4 linked regions of the Arabidopsis thaliana genome follow. The protein of the gene in region 4 interacts with the protein of the main gene of each other region in a pairwise test. Each region holds a gene or a part of one and is shown on either strand. Other genes may lie near its edges. The genes, in order: APA1, LSMT-L, ZFP8 and BLH4.

Evidence for each region.
Region 1: the proteins of BLH4 (region 4) and APA1 interact in a two-hybrid assay, tested with the Arabidopsis thaliana proteins (one large-scale study listed by BioGRID).
Region 2: the proteins of BLH4 (region 4) and LSMT-L interact in a two-hybrid assay, tested with the Arabidopsis thaliana proteins (one large-scale study listed by BioGRID).
Region 3: the proteins of BLH4 (region 4) and ZFP8 interact in a two-hybrid assay, tested with the Arabidopsis thaliana proteins (one large-scale study listed by BioGRID).

What each region holds. Positions count from the first base shown.
Region 1 is NC_003070.9:4,016,178-4,022,589, forward strand, and holds APA1 (aspartic proteinase A1), read right to left. Parts: upstream 4,589-6,412; 5' UTR 3,820-4,588; coding exon 3,792-3,819; intron 3,703-3,791; coding exon 3,350-3,702; intron 3,266-3,349; coding exon 3,205-3,265; intron 3,020-3,204; coding exon 2,925-3,019; intron 2,841-2,924; coding exon 2,728-2,840; intron 2,645-2,727; coding exon 2,476-2,644; intron 2,390-2,475; coding exon 2,350-2,389; intron 2,218-2,349; coding exon 2,153-2,217; intron 2,062-2,152; coding exon 1,948-2,061; intron 1,848-1,947; coding exon 1,783-1,847; intron 1,666-1,782; coding exon 1,509-1,665; intron 1,412-1,508; coding exon 1,292-1,411; intron 1,202-1,291; coding exon 1,113-1,201; intron 1,027-1,112; coding exon 942-1,026; 3' UTR 535-941; downstream 1-534. Other genes in the region: AT1G11905 (B-cell receptor-associated protein 31-like protein), read left to right, coding at 1-45; AT1G11915 (wall-associated receptor kinase galacturonan-binding protein), read left to right, coding at 5,653-6,412. UniProt on the Arabidopsis thaliana protein: Involved in the breakdown of propeptides of storage proteins in protein-storage vacuoles. Possesses aspartic protease activity in vitro.
Region 2 is NC_003070.9:4,804,764-4,809,106, reverse strand, and holds LSMT-L (Rubisco methyltransferase family protein), read left to right. Parts: upstream 1-1,589; 5' UTR 1,590-1,666; coding exon 1,667-2,130; intron 2,131-2,220; coding exon 2,221-2,249; intron 2,250-2,375; coding exon 2,376-2,587; intron 2,588-2,702; coding exon 2,703-2,825; intron 2,826-2,913; coding exon 2,914-3,318; exon of another isoform or gene 3,319-3,398; coding exon 3,399-3,614; 3' UTR 3,615-3,801; downstream 3,802-4,343. Other genes in the region: AT1G14020 (O-fucosyltransferase family protein), read right to left, coding at 3,996-4,263. UniProt on the Arabidopsis thaliana protein: Protein-lysine methyltransferase methylating chloroplastic fructose 1,6-bisphosphate aldolases. Can also use with low efficiency gamma-tocopherol methyltransferase as substrate, but not a cytosolic aldolase.
Region 3 is NC_003071.7:17,505,772-17,509,124, forward strand, and holds ZFP8 (zinc finger protein 8), read left to right. Parts: upstream 1-1,571; 5' UTR 1,572-1,784; coding exon 1,785-2,558; 3' UTR 2,559-2,845; downstream 2,846-3,353. UniProt on the Arabidopsis thaliana protein: Probable transcription factor required for the initiation of inflorescence trichomes in response to gibberellin and cytokinin. Is not involved in the regulation of trichome branching. Is functionally equivalent to GIS2.
Region 4 is NC_003071.7:10,107,183-10,115,026, forward strand, and holds BLH4 (BEL1-like homeodomain 4), read right to left. Parts: upstream 5,824-7,844; 5' UTR 5,704-5,823; exon of another isoform or gene 5,597-5,703; 5' UTR 5,555-5,596; coding exon 4,598-5,554; intron 3,831-4,597; coding exon 3,439-3,830; intron 2,437-3,438; coding exon 2,220-2,436; intron 1,243-2,219; coding exon 769-1,242; 3' UTR 527-768; downstream 1-526. UniProt on the Arabidopsis thaliana protein: Transcription factor that establishes leaf shape by repressing growth in specific subdomains of the leaf. Negatively regulates knox homeobox gene KNAT1/BP expression.

The sequences.
Region 1 (6,412 bases), on a different chromosome or scaffold from region 4:
GTGGATTCGAAACTTTCGCGTTCAAGCAGCAAAAAGAATACTTGAGAGACCTTATTCCAACACTTGAAACTTCTTTGCGATTCTGCCGTCTGAATATATATGTTTCGAGTTTGATATCAGGAGCTTGTGGTTTGGTGTTATCGCATCTTGTTAACATGGAAGATGATTGGGAAAGATCAGAGAATACAAAACAAGTATAGGTTTGCTTCTTGTTTAAGTGTTTAGCTAAGGTAGAAATTAATCAATTCTTCTGCTATAGGAAACTGTAACTCGTTGTAACTTGTTCATTTCGCAACAAAAACTTCTCGAATTGGTTCTTATTTCCTTCCATATACGTATACAGTCGCTGCAAGTGGGTTGTCATTATAATTTCTCATAAGTTCACAGACTTGTTCAAAATAGATACTTGTTCCGAAATTCAGGAAGGATGCTGCAAGCTTCGTGTTGGGGAATTTACCTCGCTCTTGACGAATTATTAAGGTTTTAGAAAATTGGGTCTCAAACAGTCTATCAACTTAAAATGCATGTTTCAAGCAGGAACGTTCTTCAATATATGACAAATAACTATTATCATCGTGACTTTTTGACGTAGGAATTTATGTGGTTAGAAAATGAAGATAAAGCGAGCTTGACCATTTTCAAATTTTTTATGCTACACCGTTTTTACCGAACCATTTGATACAACTTACTAAGCATAAACAAAAGAGGCAGGCTTTATTAAAGTTTTCAGTTTTTTCACCATCGAACTTACTTAGAAGGTATTTACAAAGCCAATGCCTTCAAAACTACAAAGGCCTTTTTTCGTTAGGAAACAACTTAAAAGGAACTGCGCCACCATTTCTACTACGACTCAAAGTCCTCAACTCCAGAAAACATACAAACAACACTTGAGACGCAGATTGTTCATACTAAAACCATACGCGACACCAACCCGATCGTGTTTAGGCTGCCTCTGCAAACCCGACCTGTTCGTTACCAAAGTCAAATACGGTGTGGTATTTGCCCATGAACACATCTCCCAAGATCCTGTTACATTTTTACCACCGTTCTTAGGGTTAGAAAAAGAAAGCAAGAAGAAATTGTGCTACAGAGTAATAGATTCAATGGTTTACCAGAGAGGTCCACGAGGTGGAGCAACGTCAAGAGCAATAAAACCACTGATGCACTGTGCCACAGGTCCCTCACCAACTTTCAGAACATACTGCTCACATCATACCAGTACAACAGATTAGTAGATGGTCATATTCACTACATAATATGAATGTTGTCTTTAAATAGTTCACTATCATACCTCTTCTGGAGCAAGATCAAATACTTTGCCTCCAATGGTAAGTGAAACAGTGGGCATTGTTGACAGTTGTGCACAGTCAACTGCAGACTCTCCCATTGGGCTGGGGAGGCGTTCACATAGCTGTTAAGAAAACCCACAGTAGCGATTTATAATCAGTAATCAGGACAACAATAACTACTGTTTCACAAAAGTCTTGAAATGACAACTTATTGGTTACCTCGTTGACGTAGTTCAATATGCGCTCTTGAGTCATGTTTTGCCTCAACTGGCTCTGGATCCACACAACAGCCATCTCACATGCAGAACACGCAGCATCTCCAACACCATTAGACAATTTGGCGTTTTCCTTGTCCACCACCGACTCAATGCCCATACTAGATAATTTATAAACAAAATCATACTAAATATGAGCAGATCACACGGAAAAACAAACAAGCATTCCAAAATGAAGATCCTAGCTTAATGGCAATGACTACAGATTATAACTTTACCTGACACCACGGGTACCATCAAAAGTACACAGACCAATCTGCGAGCAGATTTTCTTCGGTTGGGTCTGCAAGGCGCAAGGGGGATGAATGGTAAGCCAAAATAATTTGCACAGCATATGACTTGTCACAGATTTTATTAGCTAGTCCAATATTAAGCACACTAACCTCAGACAAAAGTAAATCCAAAATGGTCTGCCCGTATTGATCCACAACAGTCTTGCACTGCTGGCTAACAACTCCAGCTGCTCCAATAGCATGGTTTATCATGGTGATTATAGTCTACACAGGGAAAAAATTGAAATATTACTACATATACTAGTTAAAAAACCATAATTCTATAAAGCTATAAGCAATTTTAATTCTTGCTTACCGTTGGACCGGCAAGCAAAGATGTACCAGAATCTGCTATCGCAGAACAGCCACTTTCACAGAACCCTGTATAACAGTAACTCAAACTTTAGAACCAGTTGTCACCAGCAAACATAAATAGCAAAACCTTTTTGAATTTGTCAGGAAAAGCTATATATATGTGTTATAAAGAACAACGCCAATCAGTGTTACACATACCAGTGGGTGCACCGCCAATAAGAACATCACCCATGTCAAACTATAACAAAATATATATAGCTTGAGTTAGATCGTCACTGGAAAACGTTATGAGAAAACCAGACAAGGAAGTGATGTATCACAAACCTGCCAGTAGCCCTTTTGTGTCACAGGAACATATGTATGTTTGCCCTTGAAATGATTTGGATCAACACCTCCAAATACAAGTTCACCACCTTCTTCTTCATCTGCATTACGGTTAAGCCAAAATGAAAAAACCGGCTCCTTGATAAGGCCTTGCTTGAGCATGTTGTACCTGTAAAAAACAAGACATATTAGCATTAACACTACAGGAATGTAGTAACTCAGTCCAAACAAGAGAAGAATGTGCAGGCATACCAAACAGGAGCAGCTTTTCCAACAGAGATCTCTTGGAATCCAAGACCAAGGATACCATCAAATTTAGCTACAACAAATGTTATACCAGGCTCCTTGGTTGCCTCGATAAACTCCTGATGAGATAGACAAATGTTAAGAAGGAGGTCATTGATGTGTATGTTGTAAGAGTACTGATTAGGGTCGGACATATAGTTTACCTGATCCTTGACAACTAAATCGCCAACTGTGACAGCATCATTACTAAAAAAACCAGCAATTGCTCCAGTGCCGTAATGAATTGCGGCAGCTTTTCCTGCATCAAAGATGAGCAAGTTAGTTATAACCTAGCAGCTGCTATCAGTAGTGATGTTGCATCTTTTAACAATGGTTTTCTGCACATTAACATGAATTCTAGAGGCTACATTGAGTGAACTGTAAAGTATCTACCAACTGGGAAATCCAACTGCAAAAAATTTCAAGTTAAGAGAGAGAACAAACCATTCTTCTCATATGTGCTTGAACGAGACGACTTGTATTTGGGATGCAAGAGACATGCAAGCTGCAAAAGAGATAGAACACAATTAGTTTTCTACTCAAAAGTATCTCAACCACAGCTAACAACAATAGTCCAAATGTTGCTTACTGAGAAATAGCATTTTGATGATGGCACCCAGAGGTTAGAGCTCCCAGTGTCAAAAACCACAGTGAACTTCTGAGGTGGAGTACCAATGGCGATCTCACCATAGTACTGAGCATCTAGATAATTCTTAAGCACAACAACATCAGCATCTCCAGAATCTCCAAGTCTGTAAGCTCTCAGGGGCTTTTCTTGCTTGGATTCGACGCGTGCTGCAAGCCGATTTTTCGAATCCAACTTGAGTTTTTTCAGTCCAACTCTGAAGGTCCCGTCATTGCGCTCAGCAAAGGCAGAGAAACACAGGAGGAATGACACAATGAGTGAAACAGCAACCGTTCTAGAGTATATCTTCATTTTACCTATTCATTGACAACAAAAACCAAAAACATAAAACAAAGAAAGTTAGAATCAAGAGACCATCACAGAGAAAAAAAGCAGAGAACCATACCCATAAAAGTCAACCAGTATGTATACATATATTTATATCAGAGAGTTCATATTGAATGATGCAACATAAAAGAAAATTTGTAAAGTGACTAAAAATAGGCTAACTCGGTCCTCCTCCTCAAACAGATAACGAAGGACAATGTTACACGCAATATATTGTACAAACTACAAATTATTAGTTTAATTGGTCTCTCTCAATCAGCCACGAAGCAATAGCGTGGAAGCAATAAATAAAGTAAAAACTCTCTTGACTTTGCAAATGACTAAAGACTTCTTTTGCTAGAGAAAGTGATATAAACCTTGAAATCGACATTTGCTTGCCGAAATCAGAAAGCAAATACCCAGATTACAACAAAACCCTAAACATCCGTTCCTATAAACCTTTTCAACATAAATGGAAAGTTTTGTTCAATAAGACAAGCAATCTAGTAAAAAAAGGAAACAATCTCAATTGCACCAAGACTCACATGCAACATAATTGATTCATAAGACACTGAAAATCGCCACAATCGCGACAATAACAAGAGCATGAAATTTATTTTCTTCTTCTCAATCAACTAAAAACGATCACAACTATAATCGATAAATCTTCAAGTAAACAGTCCGATTACGTAATCAAACAAACCTAAAACCCCAAATAAATTCATACCACCGATGAAACCAAAATTAGCCACAAACCATACACAGATCACAAAATCTAAGCGAGTCTACTAATCACATCATACAATCATCCAGATTCAAAATCGAAGAACATGAAATTCGGTAACAAAACTCTTACCTAACTGCTCAGAAAACGATTTATGAACAAATCCACGAGTATTAAGGACAATAAATTAAGCAGAGAACTAAAAGTATAAGACAATCAACGAGAAGAGAATCGATAAGTTTCATAAGAAAGAGAGCTCACCAAAGCTAAAGCACCAGATTCTCAGAGAAATGAGGATTTTTGTTGAAGAAAACGAGAAGAGAGATGGTTACATTTATTTGCGAAGAAAGAGATGACTGTGAGGAGGGATAATGCTAAATTAACCGCGCTGTCTCCTAAATGGACAATTACAGGTGGAGGCCCACTGTATAATCCCGTCAAAAAAAAAAAGGAGATTTCGTGTGGGCTAATGTTTCGTTATTAGCCGTTGGATCTCTATATTGAACGATTGGATTTAATCGTTGACGGATGGATAGGAAGGCGTAACGTATCAAGTTTTATATTTAGTGAGAAATCACGTGTTTACGAATTTAGAGTGGATTACGTGCTCCTTGGAATACTAACCGTTGGATTGAGATGACTGAAATTGAACGGTTTCGATTAAAGAGTTCACCTTACATGGATAATGATCAATGTGTTGTTTATATTGGGCCTATGAGAAGCCCAATGTGTTGTTTACATTGAGATTATCTTCCAAAGATTACTTCACAAATCACAACCCTTTAAACGAAATTCTAAATAAAAGAAAATTCAAAACTATTATATACTGAAATTACTATTTTGTATTTTATAAGGTTCTCATACATTTTATTTTTTTTGTTAAATGGTTTTTAGATAACATGTTAAAGAACAAATTTTGTTGTAAAATATCAGAAAAAAGAATAGTACGTTTGTTGACATATTGTATGTAAATATTTCAAATAATCTGAAACAAAACCACGAGTCCTCTTGGAATACTTTATACTAAAAAGAAAGGTGAAATTTTAAAAACAAACCGAAACCTAAAATAAGCAATATTAACAAGCACATGACAAGATTGATTCTTAAACTCTTTAACAAGACATTCCAAGCTTACTCAACACTTCACACCACCAAATTATAATCTCATAACTAAAAACTACCCAATAATCAAATCTAAACTCCTAATTTTTGAACAATGTCTCCACTTCACTCTTACATTATCTTCTTCTCCCTTCTCATGACCATCCTTCTTCAATCATCAACAACATCATCCCAATCAAATCTCTGCAGATCTTCTTGCGGCAACATTCCGATAAATTACCCTTTTTCCATCGACGACGGTTGTGGTAGCCCTTATTACAGACACATGCTCATTTGCTCCGACAACGATACCAAGCTCGAACTTAGAACACCATCTGGTAAATACCCTGTTAAATCTATAAGCTACTCTGATCCTCACCTTCTTGTCTCCGATCCATTCATGTGGAACTGTCAAGATCGAGACAATTTTCGACCCACTAGATCTTTTAGCATCGATTCAAGTACACACTTCACTGTCTCTCCTCAAAACGACTACTTGTTCTTCAACTGCAACACCGATAAAGTTATCGTCGAACCAAAACCGCTCTTCTGCGAAAGGTTTCCAGATAGATGTGACTCGTCCTGCGATAGTTCTAGCTATCTATGCAGACATTTGCCTGAATGTGGCTCTGCTTTGGGATCTAGGGTTTCTTGTTGTTCGTATTACCCTAAAGCGACTCAATCTCTTAGGCTCATGCTGCAGGACTGTGCGACGTATACAAGTGTGTATTGGAGGAGTACAGGTGTGGAGAATGCACCGTATGATCAGTTTCCAGAGTACGGGATAAGGGTTGATTACGAATTTCCAGTGACAATGAAGTGCCTTCTTTGCCAAGAAACGACTAAAGGTGGTGGAGTTTGTGGGTTTAATACGA
Region 2 (4,343 bases), on a different chromosome or scaffold from region 4:
CATAGAATATACATATACAATACCATTTGTAGTTAAATTTAATAACTATCCTATTTATATGAGTTTTTAAAAAAAAAAAAAAAAGAGTAAAGGTAAGATATCTGTTTGGCAACGAACTAAGAAAATATATTTTAGAGGGATGAATTTTGTTGACCAACCTGAATTGTGTCAATCCGACCACCACATCATGTCGTCATCCCGATATTGACCGCGTTTTGTGGTTTTCGTGAGAAGTGTTTTCTCAGTCTCTGATTTAAAATTGCGATTAGTGAGTTGTTTTTCAGGTTTACCACACGAGTTTCGGCGCGACAAGCGGTTCCGTTAGAAGAGTTTATGTTCTTGACATTTGATATTTTGTATGACAAATTAGTACTTATTACATTTTGACAAAGAAAAATACACTCTATTGAAACAGTCTAATTGCATATTAACAACTAAAACAGTCTTGTTGCCAATTTTGGAATTTTGAACAATTTTTGAAAGTAATGAAAAGTCATTCACGTGTCTCCCATCTCAAACTTAACACGTTATATTAGCAAAAGTAAACTGATCTTAATCAATATCGACGTTGTACCTTAATTTCATGGACCAAGTTATTGTCTAAAACTTAAAATAGCGGCCATTTCGACGGAAAAAAGTAGCAATAAACTTTGGTTTTCTCGTTAATAATTAAAGTTATATCAGAAACATATTTGGAATTGATCATAATCTTAATTAAGCCGAGAGAGTGTAATAGGTTTTGTTTTGTTTTTTGATAAGAGTGTAATAGGGTTTCTGATAGGTATCACATTACACATGTACCTTACTGGTCTCATATCCCGTGGTCAAGCCGGCAAAACAAGAGAAAGGAAAGTTCCGCTTTTACATGTGATTACTACGTACGTACCATTACCTATATTACAAAGTAAATTACTTGTCTTCTACGTTGATGGAGAATAGTGGATCATTGTACCCCCTAAATTACAAATTTAAGACTAATTTCTATTTGATTAAGAATAGTGAATAAGACTTGTATATTTGATTCTTCAATTACAATAAGTATTTTAGCACACAATTAAATATGAACTACTTAAACACATAATTAAATCAAAAACATTTGAATTAGACCACTTGATATTATGATGATGATGATGATTATGAAGGTATGTGTGATATGGTGGGTACATACTACATATATGTCTCGGCCAATCTCTTTTGTTGTTGTTGTTGTTGTTGTTGTTGTTGTTGTTGTTGTTGTTGTTGTTGTTGTAACATGTTGCATTATCTTGGAGGAATTTAGAATGAATATTGGGATCTCCATGAGATGTTACCTATTTAAAACTCAAGTGTCAAGTCAGTAGATTTGAGGTTGAAGCTATAGTTGACCATTTTTCTTCTTACAAAGGTTGAGATGACAAAAAAAAAAAAGAAAAAGAAGTTGAAGCTACCATAAGTTAAAAAGATAATTTTTTAAAAATGAAAATAAATACAGACAATTAACAATTTAATTACATCAGAACAAAAATAAAATGTAGGCCTTGGCCTTTTAGAATAATGGGCCTTTAACATTGGTAACTAGAATAACTAGATTTTTGTCTCATCAACAACTTAGAAAAAACTGATGTGATATTATTGTTATCCACACACTCTCTGTTTCACTGATACTACCCGCCATCGGAAAACCACCATGTCAGCCTCCGTCGCCGTCGTGTCGGGTTTTCTCCGTATCCCGTCAATTCAAAAGTCTCAAAACCCTTCCTTTCTCTTTTCTCGACCCAAGAAATCTTTGGTGAGACCCATTTCAGCTTCAAGCTCAGAGTTGCCGGAAAATGTTCGGAATTTCTGGAAATGGCTCAGAGACCAAGGAGTCGTATCCGGGAAGTCTGTGGCAGAACCTGCGGTGGTACCGGAAGGTTTGGGACTTGTAGCCAGGCGTGATATTGGAAGAAACGAGGTCGTATTGGAGATTCCCAAGCGATTGTGGATAAACCCAGAGACAGTGACTGCTTCCAAGATTGGACCTTTATGCGGCGGATTAAAGCCGTGGGTTTCAGTAGCTCTGTTTTTGATCAGAGAGAAGTATGAAGAAGAGTCTTCATGGAGAGTTTATCTTGATATGCTTCCTCAATCTACTGATTCTACTGTCTTCTGGTGGGTTTTGTCCTTCTCTGATCATCAATTGTATCTCTGATCAACACTAAGCTGATGAGATGTCTTCTTCGTGAAATGTCTCCAGTACAGGTCAGAAGAGGAGCTTGCTGAGCTTAAAGGTCCATTTTCTTACCCTTTTCTTTGAAAAGTCTGATCATTGTTTAGATTCATACCAATTGGTCTGAGTAGCAGTAGCTGATGATGATGTACATTATTAACTTTGTGGTTACTGTTGTTTGGCTCAGGGACTCAACTGTTGAGCACCACATTGGGTGTGAAAGAGTATGTGGAGAATGAATTCTTGAAACTGGAACAAGAGATATTACTGCCTAACAAAGATCTCTTCTCATCCCGCATAACACTTGATGACTTCATATGGGCGTTTGGGATCCTCAAGTCGAGGGCTTTTTCTCGTCTCCGTGGCCAAAACCTTGTCTTGATCCCTCTTGCAGACTTGGCAAGCTATCTTCTTGTTTCAGATATTGTCTAGTGAAAACTTCAGAAAATAATCTTCATTCATTGATGCTTGGCTCAGCAGAGAATCTCTGACTTCAATGTTTGAATTTGAACAGATAAACCATAACCCCGCGATAAAGACAGAAGATTATGCATACGAGATCAAAGGAGCCGGCCTTTTCTCTAGAGATCTCTTATTTTCCTTGAAGTCACCTGTTTATGTTAAAGCAGGTGAGCAGGTATGCTCCAAACACTGTCTACTTAGTTTTCTCCCTCAAGAGTGTAAGAACAAGCCCTTTAATACTGTTTGGATGATCTCTTCCATAGGTATACATTCAGTACGATCTGAACAAAAGCAATGCAGAACTTGCTCTCGACTATGGTTTTGTGGAATCAAACCCTAAACGGAACTCATATACTTTAACAATAGAGATACCAGAATCAGACCCATTCTTTGGGGATAAGTTGGATATTGCTGAGAGTAACAAGATGGGTGAGACCGGATACTTTGACATAGTAGACGGCCAGACTCTTCCCGCTGGTATGCTTCAGTACCTTCGGCTTGTGGCTCTTGGCGGTCCAGATGCTTTCTTATTAGAATCTATCTTCAATAACACCATATGGGGTCATCTTGAATTGCCTGTAAGTCGTACAAACGAGGAACTCATATGCCGTGTTGTCAGAGATGCCTGCAAATCTGCTCTGTCTGGTTTTGATACGACCATTGAAGAGGTATATATGTTCGAGCTCTTACTTGTACTGTCTTTGCAGCTTAACACTCATTTCTTACTCGTCTTCATCGTCTGTTGTAGGATGAGAAGCTTCTGGACAAAGGAAAGCTTGAGCCTAGGTTGGAAATGGCTCTCAAGATAAGGATTGGTGAGAAGAGAGTGCTTCAGCAAATCGACCAAATCTTCAAGGATAGAGAGCTTGAACTTGACATTTTAGAGTATTACCAAGAGAGAAGGCTCAAAGATCTTGGGTTGGTTGGCGAACAAGGGGATATTATCTTCTGGGAAACCAAGTGAGAATTAGCTTAGCTTGTATAGCTTATCCTGCAGAACAAACTCAAGGCTAGAAAGAAAATCTTTACTGGTTTGGTCTCAGACCACATAGACTTGAATCAACCTCAAGACATCAGAGTTGAGAGACCACAATTTGTATGTTAGGCTATTGCCAAAAGCAGGCTTTTTGAAATTCTATAAGATGAGACATAATCTTCTTTTTAGTTACATCTTAATTTACGTAAAACTAAATAAATCAAGATCAGCAACTATGCAGGAAAATTGAAAAAAATTACAAACAAAAATGGAAAAACTCAGGGAAGGAACTATGCAGCTCCCGTTCAAGTGTTTGACATGCCGTCCTCTTGCGGAAGCAATGAGATATAATATGCTAAAAACATGACTTCAATGTGTTAAATTTCTATGGCCAAACAGGTCGTGGCAATTTGTACCTTCACAAAGACATTCTTGAGGATTTGCGTAGAAGTAATCTTCCTCCTTAGGTTTGTCAGAGATTACTCTTCGATGAGTAGGTGCTCCTGCTCGTCTCTCATGGGCTTCCTTGACTGCTACTGCAAACTGATCCCACGTGAGGGTCTTGTTGTGATGTAAGTCTAGTAGCTCCACGAGTCTCTTACGGTCAAGCAGGATTGTCTTCTTATATCCAAGGTATCTGCAAATTCAAATCAGATATAGACCAATAATGGTTATATAGAATCACAGGTTTGGTTATTCTTAACACCACCTTTTTAG
Region 3 (3,353 bases), 7.4 Mb from region 4:
ATAACAATACTTTTATAAGAGAATAGTTTATCTGTTGACCAAAAAAAAAGGAATAGTTTATCTATCCACAAATGGATGATCCATATTGGAGTATATAGAACGATAAGAGATGATTCGATACGTACTAAATGAAAACTTTGAATACTGTGTATAGTAAGCAATCAGCATTAGTTTACAAGATCTTAGTTTTCGTAGGATTAGTTTAGACTGTTTAGTAATTTGATTCCAACCATTGTACAGGAGAAAATTTTTACCGCTCAAAACAACTAACTGAACGTCATACTTAATTGGGAATTTGGGAGTCGTCAAAGAAATGAAAAAGGTCAGATTAATTTATGGATTAATGAGTTTTATAGTCCTTATTCCAGCTTGACATTAGCAACATATACATTATTTGTGTGACATAATCAGGGAATATATATAATCAAAATTAATGGGATTTAAAATTTAATTATTCTTACAAAATATCAAAAAATTTAGTGTAGACGAACAAAAAGAGAATACATATATATATATAGTTCATTTGAAGAAGACGTGTATATGATCGATCCGAGTTGATAAGTATTAACAGATTACATACATATTGATAAGATGATGTGATCTCATCGATTAAGGTTCAATCTTTTAAATTGGTTAACTATCTGGTGATGACATGTCAACTAGTCGATTATGAGCATCATTAATGATCATGAACATGGACCACCTCTCTCTCTCTGTAAGATTATCTTTGCATCAAAGAGACAAAACATCCAAGAGACTAAAAGTATGGTCCTTGAGAGAGAAGAAGTCTCTTTAATTAGGTCTTTCTATTTCTCTCTCTCTCTATTAGTAGTAAAATCCATGTACTTATACGTAGACATAATAACCAAATAGGTCCGTGATGTTAAAGAGTACACACCTAACTTCACCTTGCTAATGATCTCTTACCTACAAACTCTCACTGTTTTTAGTTCATCTCATTACTCACTGTGACCCCATTTCATCTGCTTACGACCAATTTGGTAAGCTTTTTGTCTTAGTTTCAACATTTGCAGGAATCACTTTAAGAAACAACTAACTAAAAAGGAGATAACTTTGAAAAAGGAGGATTGATGGGTTTGTTTTTGATGAGATGGATATTTGTATATGTATGTCTAATGAGAGATATATTGCGTAGGGGAAGTGAATGTAGATTAGAGGTCTCCCTATATATTGATTGATTTTATCCGGCTATTTTTACCTACCGCGACACACGGTATAGATTCATAGTAAGCTACAATTTAAACACAAGATAAATCTGTAATCATATAGTATAGTACTATGCTTCCATATATACCCCATATTTACGTCTCCTATGCTTCCATACGCTAATTAGTTTTTTTTTTTTTCCAACCATAATTGCAGGTTTATATAAACATGAACTAACGAAAAAAATAAAATATAAACATGCACCATGGAGTCAATTTTAAAATTCTATGAGGTTTGATTTTCAAAAGGAAAAATCTAATATACTAATGAAAAAATTGAGATCATAAAAAAACTAATGAAGAAGTAGATTTATTTATTTTGAAAAATATGTACAAGTGAAATGTGGATCATTCTTTAGCTATATATATATAGGTGGATAAACGTAAAATCACGCACGCGGCCATGCTGCAGGGGTTAAATAGCAATTATGTATTTACCTTAAAAAGAATTTGGGAACCTCTCTTTAAATTAATGCAAAACCTCATCTCTTGTCTTTCTGTCTCTGAAACAGTCAACCTCATTCTTCTCAAACTCACTCTCCCTGATCTCTCTCTTCCATGGACGAAACCAACGGACGAAGAGAAACTCACGATTTCATGAACGTCAACGTTGAATCCTTCTCTCAGCTTCCTTTCATCCGCCGTACTCCTCCCAAAGAAAAAGCCGCCATTATTCGTCTCTTCGGCCAAGAGCTCGTCGGTGATAACTCCGACAACTTATCCGCAGAACCTTCTGATCATCAAACCACTACCAAGAACGATGAGAGCTCTGAGAATATCAAGGACAAAGACAAAGAAAAAGATAAGGACAAAGACAAAGATAACAACAACAACAGGAGATTCGAGTGTCACTACTGCTTCAGAAACTTCCCAACTTCTCAAGCCCTAGGTGGACATCAAAACGCTCACAAACGTGAACGTCAACACGCCAAACGCGGTTCCATGACATCATACCTTCATCATCATCAGCCTCATGACCCTCACCACATCTACGGCTTCCTCAACAACCACCACCACCGTCACTATCCGTCTTGGACGACGGAAGCTAGATCATACTACGGCGGAGGGGGACATCAAACGCCGTCGTACTACTCAAGGAATACTCTTGCTCCTCCTTCTTCTAACCCACCGACAATCAACGGAAGTCCTTTAGGTTTGTGGCGTGTACCGCCTTCCACGTCAACAAATACTATTCAAGGCGTTTACTCATCTTCACCAGCTTCAGCGTTTAGGTCGCATGAGCAAGAGACTAATAAGGAGCCTAATAACTGGCCGTACAGATTGATGAAACCCAATGTGCAAGATCATGTGAGTCTCGATCTTCATCTCTGACTTCTTTTATTTTATTTTTTTATCATCCATCATTGCTGTGATATATGAGACTCGCTGATCGGTGAAGCCAATTCTTTTGAGAGTGTTGGAGACTGAAAAAAAGAAAAAGAAAACGAGAACCGGTTTGGTGTGTAGATCATCTTGAACCTTTTTGAGGTTTTCACATTCTGAGTTTATATTAATAAAGGGAATAATATTTTGGTTAATTAGTAAAATTCGTTCATCCGTTTAATTTCCTCTCACGTGTGTGTGAATGTGAATGATATAATTATCGTTTTTTTTGTTTGATTTCATCTGTTCATTTGTGAGTTCTGTTATGGCTTCCTTCAAGACTCTCTATAACTTTCAGAGAAAGAGGAACATTAATTTAAGGGCCATGGAAGTCACACGTACTTTCTCTCTGTTGTTGCAGTCGAGATATTTAAAGTCTTAACCATTAAAAACCCCAGAAGACTCTTTAGATACAAAATGCTTAGGGTCTCTGTCTAATTAAAACGGTCTTTTACCGAATCAAGAGGCAACGAAGGATGGGTAAATGCAGATGTTGATGATGATTCGGTGACTGTGGGGATCACTGAAGACAATGGACAAGACAAAAGGGGAGAGAGAGAGAGAGAGTTGAGAAGTGAAAGTGGTCCATGATTACAAGTGTAGAGTTAGCCAAAGATAGAGCTTTCACATCTTTCTCAACACACAGAACCTAAAGCTAAAGCCTTTCCTCAAAAGCTTTCTTCTTTAGTTTCTTTTCTAACCTTTTTTTGGGCAGTTCAAAGAGAATCATCAACTACAAGCTGT
Region 4 (7,844 bases):
CCTTTGTAGAACTAAAACGTCTCCGTCTCGATTGACATATCCCCCAATATGACATGTAACCAAACCTTTGGAGTTTTGGATAATTGTTTCTCAGAGAAAAAAACTAAAGAACCTAACTCAAAAGATTATTTGTTTTCTTTTTAAACAAATATGTCACGTTTTTCTTAACTATTTTACTATAAACTGAAGATAATACAATTGTTAATAAGTCGATCGGGTACGTACCAAGTATATTTTGTTGCTATTACTAAATTAAGGAGCACATAGTTGTAGTAAGTAGGGATTAGTTGAGATGATTAATTTGATATTACAAGGAAAGTGATGTGACTTATTGGCGCTTTCCTAAAAGACTGTTGTCGCTTATTAGCAAAAATCAAATGGAAGAATCCAATAAATGCTACACGAAATTTAGTTTCCAGAAAATATATGTACATAATCATAATCTAAAACAAAATTTAGAGTAATTTGGCAGGGGTATTAATATGAACAAAAAATTAGTATGAACAAAACTATACAAAAATGTAAGGATATAAGTTTCATGAATAAAATAAAAATATGTGCATAATTATATATGGAACTTTGGTAGCTAGATCTCACTTGATATATGTATATCTCTCTTCTTCTTACGACAGAAAAGACAGAAAAAAAAACTAAAGAAGAAAGGAAATTTTAAAAGTATGTGAAGAAACTAAAAACATATATCGATAAACCAAAAAAATAAAATTCACTATAATAAATTTTGATGAATAAATTGAGAAACAAAGAAGACTAAAAATCTCCAAAGTCTCTAACGGAGAAAGAAGTGTTCTTATCAGGAATATTGCCAGAGTGGCGTAGACCAAGCGTAAGAGACACGTCACCAGTCTGTTTGGTCCCGAATCTTATGACGTTCACACCATCTCCGTCGACGTGGAAGTCACTGACGTCTTGCTGACACGTGGCGACGGTGAACGCGTCTGAACCGCCGTGAGAAGCGGCGGCGACGGAAGAGAGGAATGAAGAGTCGTTTTCGTGATGTGTCGATGTCATCGTCGTTGGAGTTTGTGCGGTTATGACAGTGAAGTTGTTTTCATTGTTGTTGGGTTTCGTGTCGTTGTTGTTTGTTTGTTGCTGTCTTCTTTGTTGTTGTTGATTTTCATTTTCTTCTTCTGCTTCTTCTCTTTCTTTTGCTTCTTGTTGATACATCTCTTCCACCATTGGTTTCCATAGGCGAACCCTAGCATTTATGAACCAATTTGACACCTGAAAAAACGAGACATATGAACTAATATTAATCACAATTTACTCTTAACAAGTTTATAATATTAAAAGAAACTTAACTTTTAGAAGGAAAAAAAAACTTTTCAATGAAATGTGAAATACTCCTTTTTACATTAAATATGGTTTTGATTGTTTTTGTATATACTTCATTTGTTTTATATTAAGTAAAGTTAAAATAATAAGTCATTTACTGTGAAGAAAATTAGTTTAAACAAATGAAACAAAAAAAATAGGATAGCTAAAACCTTAAGTTAAAATGATAGGAAAGGAGTAAAAATTATGATACATGTGTTTCCTTTGAGACATCTATTAAAAAGAAGATATATATTAAATTTTTCATTATATTCTTACAAGAACAAGATAACTTTTGACATGTTTCAAGTAATTTTGATTTGATGTTAACTTATGTATTTACTGAAAGGCTTAGATGAAATTTCTAAATTAAAAATTTGAAACATAATAATGTTTTTTTATTTGAACACATGAAACATAATAATGTTAAAACAACAATTTGAAGGTTGAAATATACTAATGGATATTTGAAGCCAAGTGTAATAAACTACTTGTGATGTAAATAATTAATGTGTACAAGACTTAGAGGTCTGCTAGTTAACATTGAAATGAAAGCTTCAAACTTTCATGTACTTGAGAAATACTTACATCTCTCTCTCCTATGTTTTATATATCCTTGTGTGTGTAAGTGTAGATAATGTATTTAATGAAGAAAACGAACCCCAAGAAAAACAAATGATTCGTGATATTGAAAATCCATGCAAGAGAATAGACATGAAGCCACTCATGTCAGATTTTGCATGATGAAATGATTGATATATATGGTAAATTGTGAGTTAAGTACATATATGTAAATGAGTAATTAAAAGGGTTCTTGTATGATAAGTATGAAAACATATTATATTAAAAAAATATTGATGTATGTATCTATATAGATAAAGGCTGACCTGATTTCTGGATAAACCAGTCTGTCGTGCTAAGAGGTGCTTATCAGCATCGCTTGGGTACCTGAGAAAGAGACCAGAAAATGACTTCACAATCTTTAGAACCCTAAACCAATAATTTTTTTCTTTTCTCTTTTTTTGAATATAGATAGAGAGGAAAAACACAATCAAGTAGATGCAAGAAAAGGTACAAACTTTCTCCTTACAAGGGCGTGAGAATCTAAGGGACAAAAGAAAAAGCTGATTTCAGAATAGAAGCATTTTATTTTATTTTTGTATCTTAACTTATTTTTCATCATAAAGCAAAATATTTATCTGTACAACTCTTCTCTTCTTTACTTCACTAACAACAAAATAGTAAAATTCTGCAGACATTAAATAGAGAAAGTACTGATGAATAATGACAGAAGAAATTGCTTTTTTCAGCTTTTAGATTTTTTTTTTCCTCTTTTTGATTTCTGTCTTTCTTAAGGGACAATATACCAATGAAACTGTACCACTGACAAATCTGAGACTTATTTTTTTGTAGTTATGTTAATGGCATTGTTACTTCTTTTGATAATAGTATGTGGAATGAATTAAAGCAAATTAAAGAAAAAAAAACTATAAAGGAAAGGTTAGGCAGAGACAGAGAAACCCTTAGGATGCTATTATGATCCCAAAGCATAAAAGTTTGCGATCTCACTCTGCAAACTTCTTTTGTTGCATTAATTATTTAAACCCTTTAATTTGCCATGCAATATAACCTACATTAATATAAATATAAACATACAGTTTTCATGAAAGTCTCCTAGTCAATGAATTGTTACCCTTGTTATTTTGGAGTACTCTTAGCTGACCATTCTTATGGGTGGTATGAAAAGGAAAAAATATTTGATATTTAAATTTTTATTAGTAGTAATAAACATAAAATAATCAAACTCAGTGAAGAAACGGAACTTCATTTTACAAAAATTATTTTGGTTTTCTAAAAAAGCCAGCAGCTTTTAATTTTGATTGAAATAGAAATATATCTTCCCGCATAACAAAAGAGTTATAAAAAAAAAAATTTTTTTGTCACTTTCATAACTTAAGTTTAATAAACGTATATTAGTTAAAGTCTTGGTATCAATGCATTATGGTAGTCTACATTTTATAATGTATAGTCAACATTCAAGAAGATTAGTATTATCGAAGAATAAGAGTAGGTAAGTATTATTAAGGGATTAGAAAATGGACTTACGGATTAAGAAAATGCTCGAATAGCCAAGCTCTAAGGATATTAACGGAGCGTTCAGGCAAACCACGTTGCGGTCTCCATGCCTCTTGCTCCATCATACCCATATGATGAAACGCTCGTTGCTGACGCAAACTCTGCTCTAGCAAACGCAATCGCGGCGTTTCCCCTTTGGTTAACCCCGAGGATGCAGCCCCTGCCGCCTCTTTATCCCCTAGAAGCTCACAGCTGCGTTTAAGCTGAACCGCTACCGCGTCTTTCAAACACCGGAAATGCCTAGACATTGCCTTTTGAGCTAATGTCGTGTACGGAACCGCCGCGCCGTAACCCATTACTTGGTCGAATGAGTTCACTACCATTTGCATTTGTTCGCAGTAGTGGTTGTACCGTCGGTCCACCTACAAATTAAATTTTAAATAAATGAACTATACATAGATGAGTTCTTGTTTTTTTTTTATTAGCTCAATTTCTAAGATAAAATATAAACCTCAAGTGATTAGTTCGTTTAGATACTTCAATGTGTTATCTTCTCTTGCTAACAATTTATGCTATCTTGGAACATATACTAAATTCTTGAAAGAAGATAATGTCAACTACAAAATAAATTGTAAGATAAATAATGAAGTAACTTCAAGGACTAGTTTTGGTTACGTAGTGAAGGTGGCTAGCTTATATGGAGAAGGAAACTCTAATTTAAAATTTATGGTTGTGAAGACTAAATCACTTAATCAATCATATATTAATTTCTTATGTTAAATTTGATTAAGCGATGCCACCAAACGCGTGACACAAAATATGCATTAATATATCAAATTAGACCATATAACACCATATAATGATATTAGTTAGAAAAATTATATAAGTGATAGTAGGATTGCGTAATCAGGCTTTACCAACTAGAGCATGTGTCGTGCTCTTGTACCAGTCGGTCATTCTCTATACATTTATTTTTTTAAGAAAATAACATATATAGAGTTTATGAAAATATTGGTCGATTTAGAATTAATTATATAAGAAGAAAAAAATCACGAAGAAAAATAAAATTTTGTAGCGATTGATATGAAATTGGTTGTTTGATCAATTCAATCATTAGAACGGTTCATTAAAAGTTTGATAGAAAATTAATTAGTTTGGTTAGAGAAAAAATATTGAGTGAAAACGTTACCTCTTCAAGCATAGATAGTAGCTTGACTTTTCTTCTTTGATGTTCAATCCGATCAGCCGGAGACAAAGGAGGACTATCATTAGCTGTTCCGGCCGATGACGAGGACCCTCCGCCTCCTCCTCCACCGGTAGTATTAGGGTTTGAGTTGTTCCTACTAAGTTTGTTCTTCTTGAAATGTCCTCTTCCAACACTACAAAACTCTTCCAACAACTCTTGAGCCGGTTTCGTATATTTCGAATTCCTCAACGTGTAGATCCCTCCAATGGATGAAGAAGCCGCCATGGGAGATGATGATGATGAACCAAAATGTCCAACAACTTGATGGTGATGATGTTGAGAAGAAGAATTCTCAAGAAGAAGATTCTTGAACTGATTGAATTGATGATGATGAGCGGATGCGTTAGAAGAAGAAGAAGTTCCATCAACGGCTGCACAATAAATGCTTCTATATTCCTCGGCTTTAGCTGCGGCTAATGAAGATGAGAGAGATAAAGACAAACCCTTTCCTCCTTCCACGTGGACGGTTCCGATCATATCTCGGTTTTGATGATGATCGGAGGAGGAAGATGGCCATGTAAAGTGTTGTTGTTGCTGCGGCTGCATAGTGTTTTCGTCGGTGAAAGCAAAACCTTGATGATGATTTGGTAATAACATATGAAGAGTTGAGTTATTGTTGTTGTTGTGACGGTTTTGTTGCTCTAGCAACTGTTTAGTAGACTGATCAAGAATCTCTCCACCGGAACCGCCGCCACCTCCGCCAGGGTAAGCAAACATTTCAGACAACATTCCGGCGGTTTCATAAACCGGAATTTGAGCACCGGAGACGACGGCGGATTCATCTACTTCCTCTTGATGAGTGGTTGATGATGATCGGTGGAATCCATTAGAGAAGGAAAAGATTCCTTGGTGATGATGATAATCTTGTGACATAGAAGAAGTTGTAGTAGCTAAACCCATATCTTGTTATTCATTATATCTTTTTTCCAAAGCTCTTGGATCCTGTAAGGATTCAGACATACACAGAGAATCTTATATAACACATACAAAAAAAAAATACAAGAAAAAGAAAGAGAGAGAGAGAGAGAGGAGTCAACTAGGTATTATACAGTTTTTCTCCAATCTCTTTCTTGTAACTCTTTTAAGGTTCTCACTTTCAGCTTCGGTCATCATCTACATATATGGTATAGAGAGAGAGAGAGAGAGAGAGAGGAAGTACCTTGGAGTTGCAGAGAATTAAAGAAATGATTGATGATGAGCTTATAGCTATCGTTTTCTTCTATACCTCTCTCTCTAGCTTTCTTTTTCTTGAGTACTCTTTTTATTTTATATTTCTCTGTTAGTGAGAGTTTTTATTCAGCAAATTCTGCAAAACCAAAAACTTATAAAAAAATCTCTCCCAAAGAGAAAGGAAGAGAGAGGGAAGAGAGAAGAAGAGGTCGCTGTTCTTTCTTCATCGCCTCCCTTTTTAACCCACCAATCTTCTTTAATATTTTTTTGTTATTAAAATCTTGATTTATCATTTTTTTATAATGAAGTATTTTTATAAACATCTTCTTTTTAATTTTAATCGGCAAAGGTTTCTTCATATCAATAACGATGAGGAGGAAAGACAAAAAAAAACTATACACATCCTGAAATTACGAAATTATCCTTGTTTTTTTTTCTTGTCTTTTTTTTTTGTCAACGTTATTATTTATTTATAAGAGAAAAAAAAACTTTTTATCACGGAAATGTCGGCTGATATCAACATTTTAAAGGAGTTAATTTGGAAACTAATTTATGAAAGCAAACTAAAAAGAATAGGAAGATAAGGTGAGTCCAAAGGTCATATCTCAATGAACCAAACCACCACCATAAATACTTCCACATATTTTTGTGCTTCAATATATTCTTATTTCGAGCCAAAATAAAATAAAATAAAATATTCTTATTTGACAAATTAAATACTTATATAATATTCCTATGATGCTCTCTAATTTTATTCTTTAATATTGTGTGTATTTGTTGTTTAGGGGAGACCTATGTCATTTTAGACTACTTTTTCATGTATGTACATTTATTCAATTAACTAATCATACGATATATCAAAAATCGATCAAATTATAATATGAAACAAATGAAATACATAAAAATCGATCAAATTATAATTACATTTTGGTAACATATGTGGCTAAATCAATTATTTTAAATTTCTTTGCAGAAACCGCTATATTACATCTATCATCACGAAATCGTAAAAAAAAAAGCATTAGAGATTACCTCAAGCTTGATATGATAAAGCAAAAATCTAGCTGCAAATCGAGGTTGTTTCATTTTGTGTTAATTGATTAGGAAATATCTCATTCTGTGTTAAACGATACTCTCAACTTTCAAAATATTATTTTATATCTATATTAATTAATAAAACTTTATCACTCAAAGATTATTGAAATTTTTTTAAAATTGCTTTTTAGATTACCCATTTTAAAAAATATCCCTTTAACAATAATATTTTTAAAAATACCATTGTTTTAAAAAAAACCTTGATGTTATGACAACATGCCTGATGACTAAACCTCCAAATCATCTTTACAAAATATTTACTAAAATCCAAAGATTAATCCTCTGCACGATTTCACGGTCGGCCGATAGCCTTTCACCATCATCGATGTTTGTAATATGTAAACCATCCACACACAACTAATGCATGGAAAAAACGAAATTTTATGGTTCTGTAGTTTCACAACTACACCTTCAGCTATCTCTTTTTCTAAACCTATACTTATAAAATTAATTTCAGCCATACATTATAATGACGTTGTATAGATACAAACACAATTATTTTCTGTTAAAATTAACGTATCATTAGTCATTACATTATCCTAGGTATATTAAATATTAAAAAAAAAAAAATTTCCAAAATCGATTTGACGTGCGTATCCATCCCACAAACAGTTAGAGAGACATGTTGGATATATGCTATGTAGGTTATAAATCCACAATAGGATAAATACTAATGGAAGGCTTGAAAGCAAAAGTGAAAAGCCCACTTGTATATATATCTATGGAGACTTATGTTGGAATCTATCATGCCAGAATCAGATACCAAATCGAAAATTGTGTAGCACGCAAATTTTTGTTTGAACTATTTACTTAATCTAAATTAATGCAAGTGATTTCTCAATAAATATTATTTTTTGCTAACGGATAATTTAGAATATTTTTGTTGCCTATAAGAAATTGGACTATTTCCTAAATTCAAAACTGT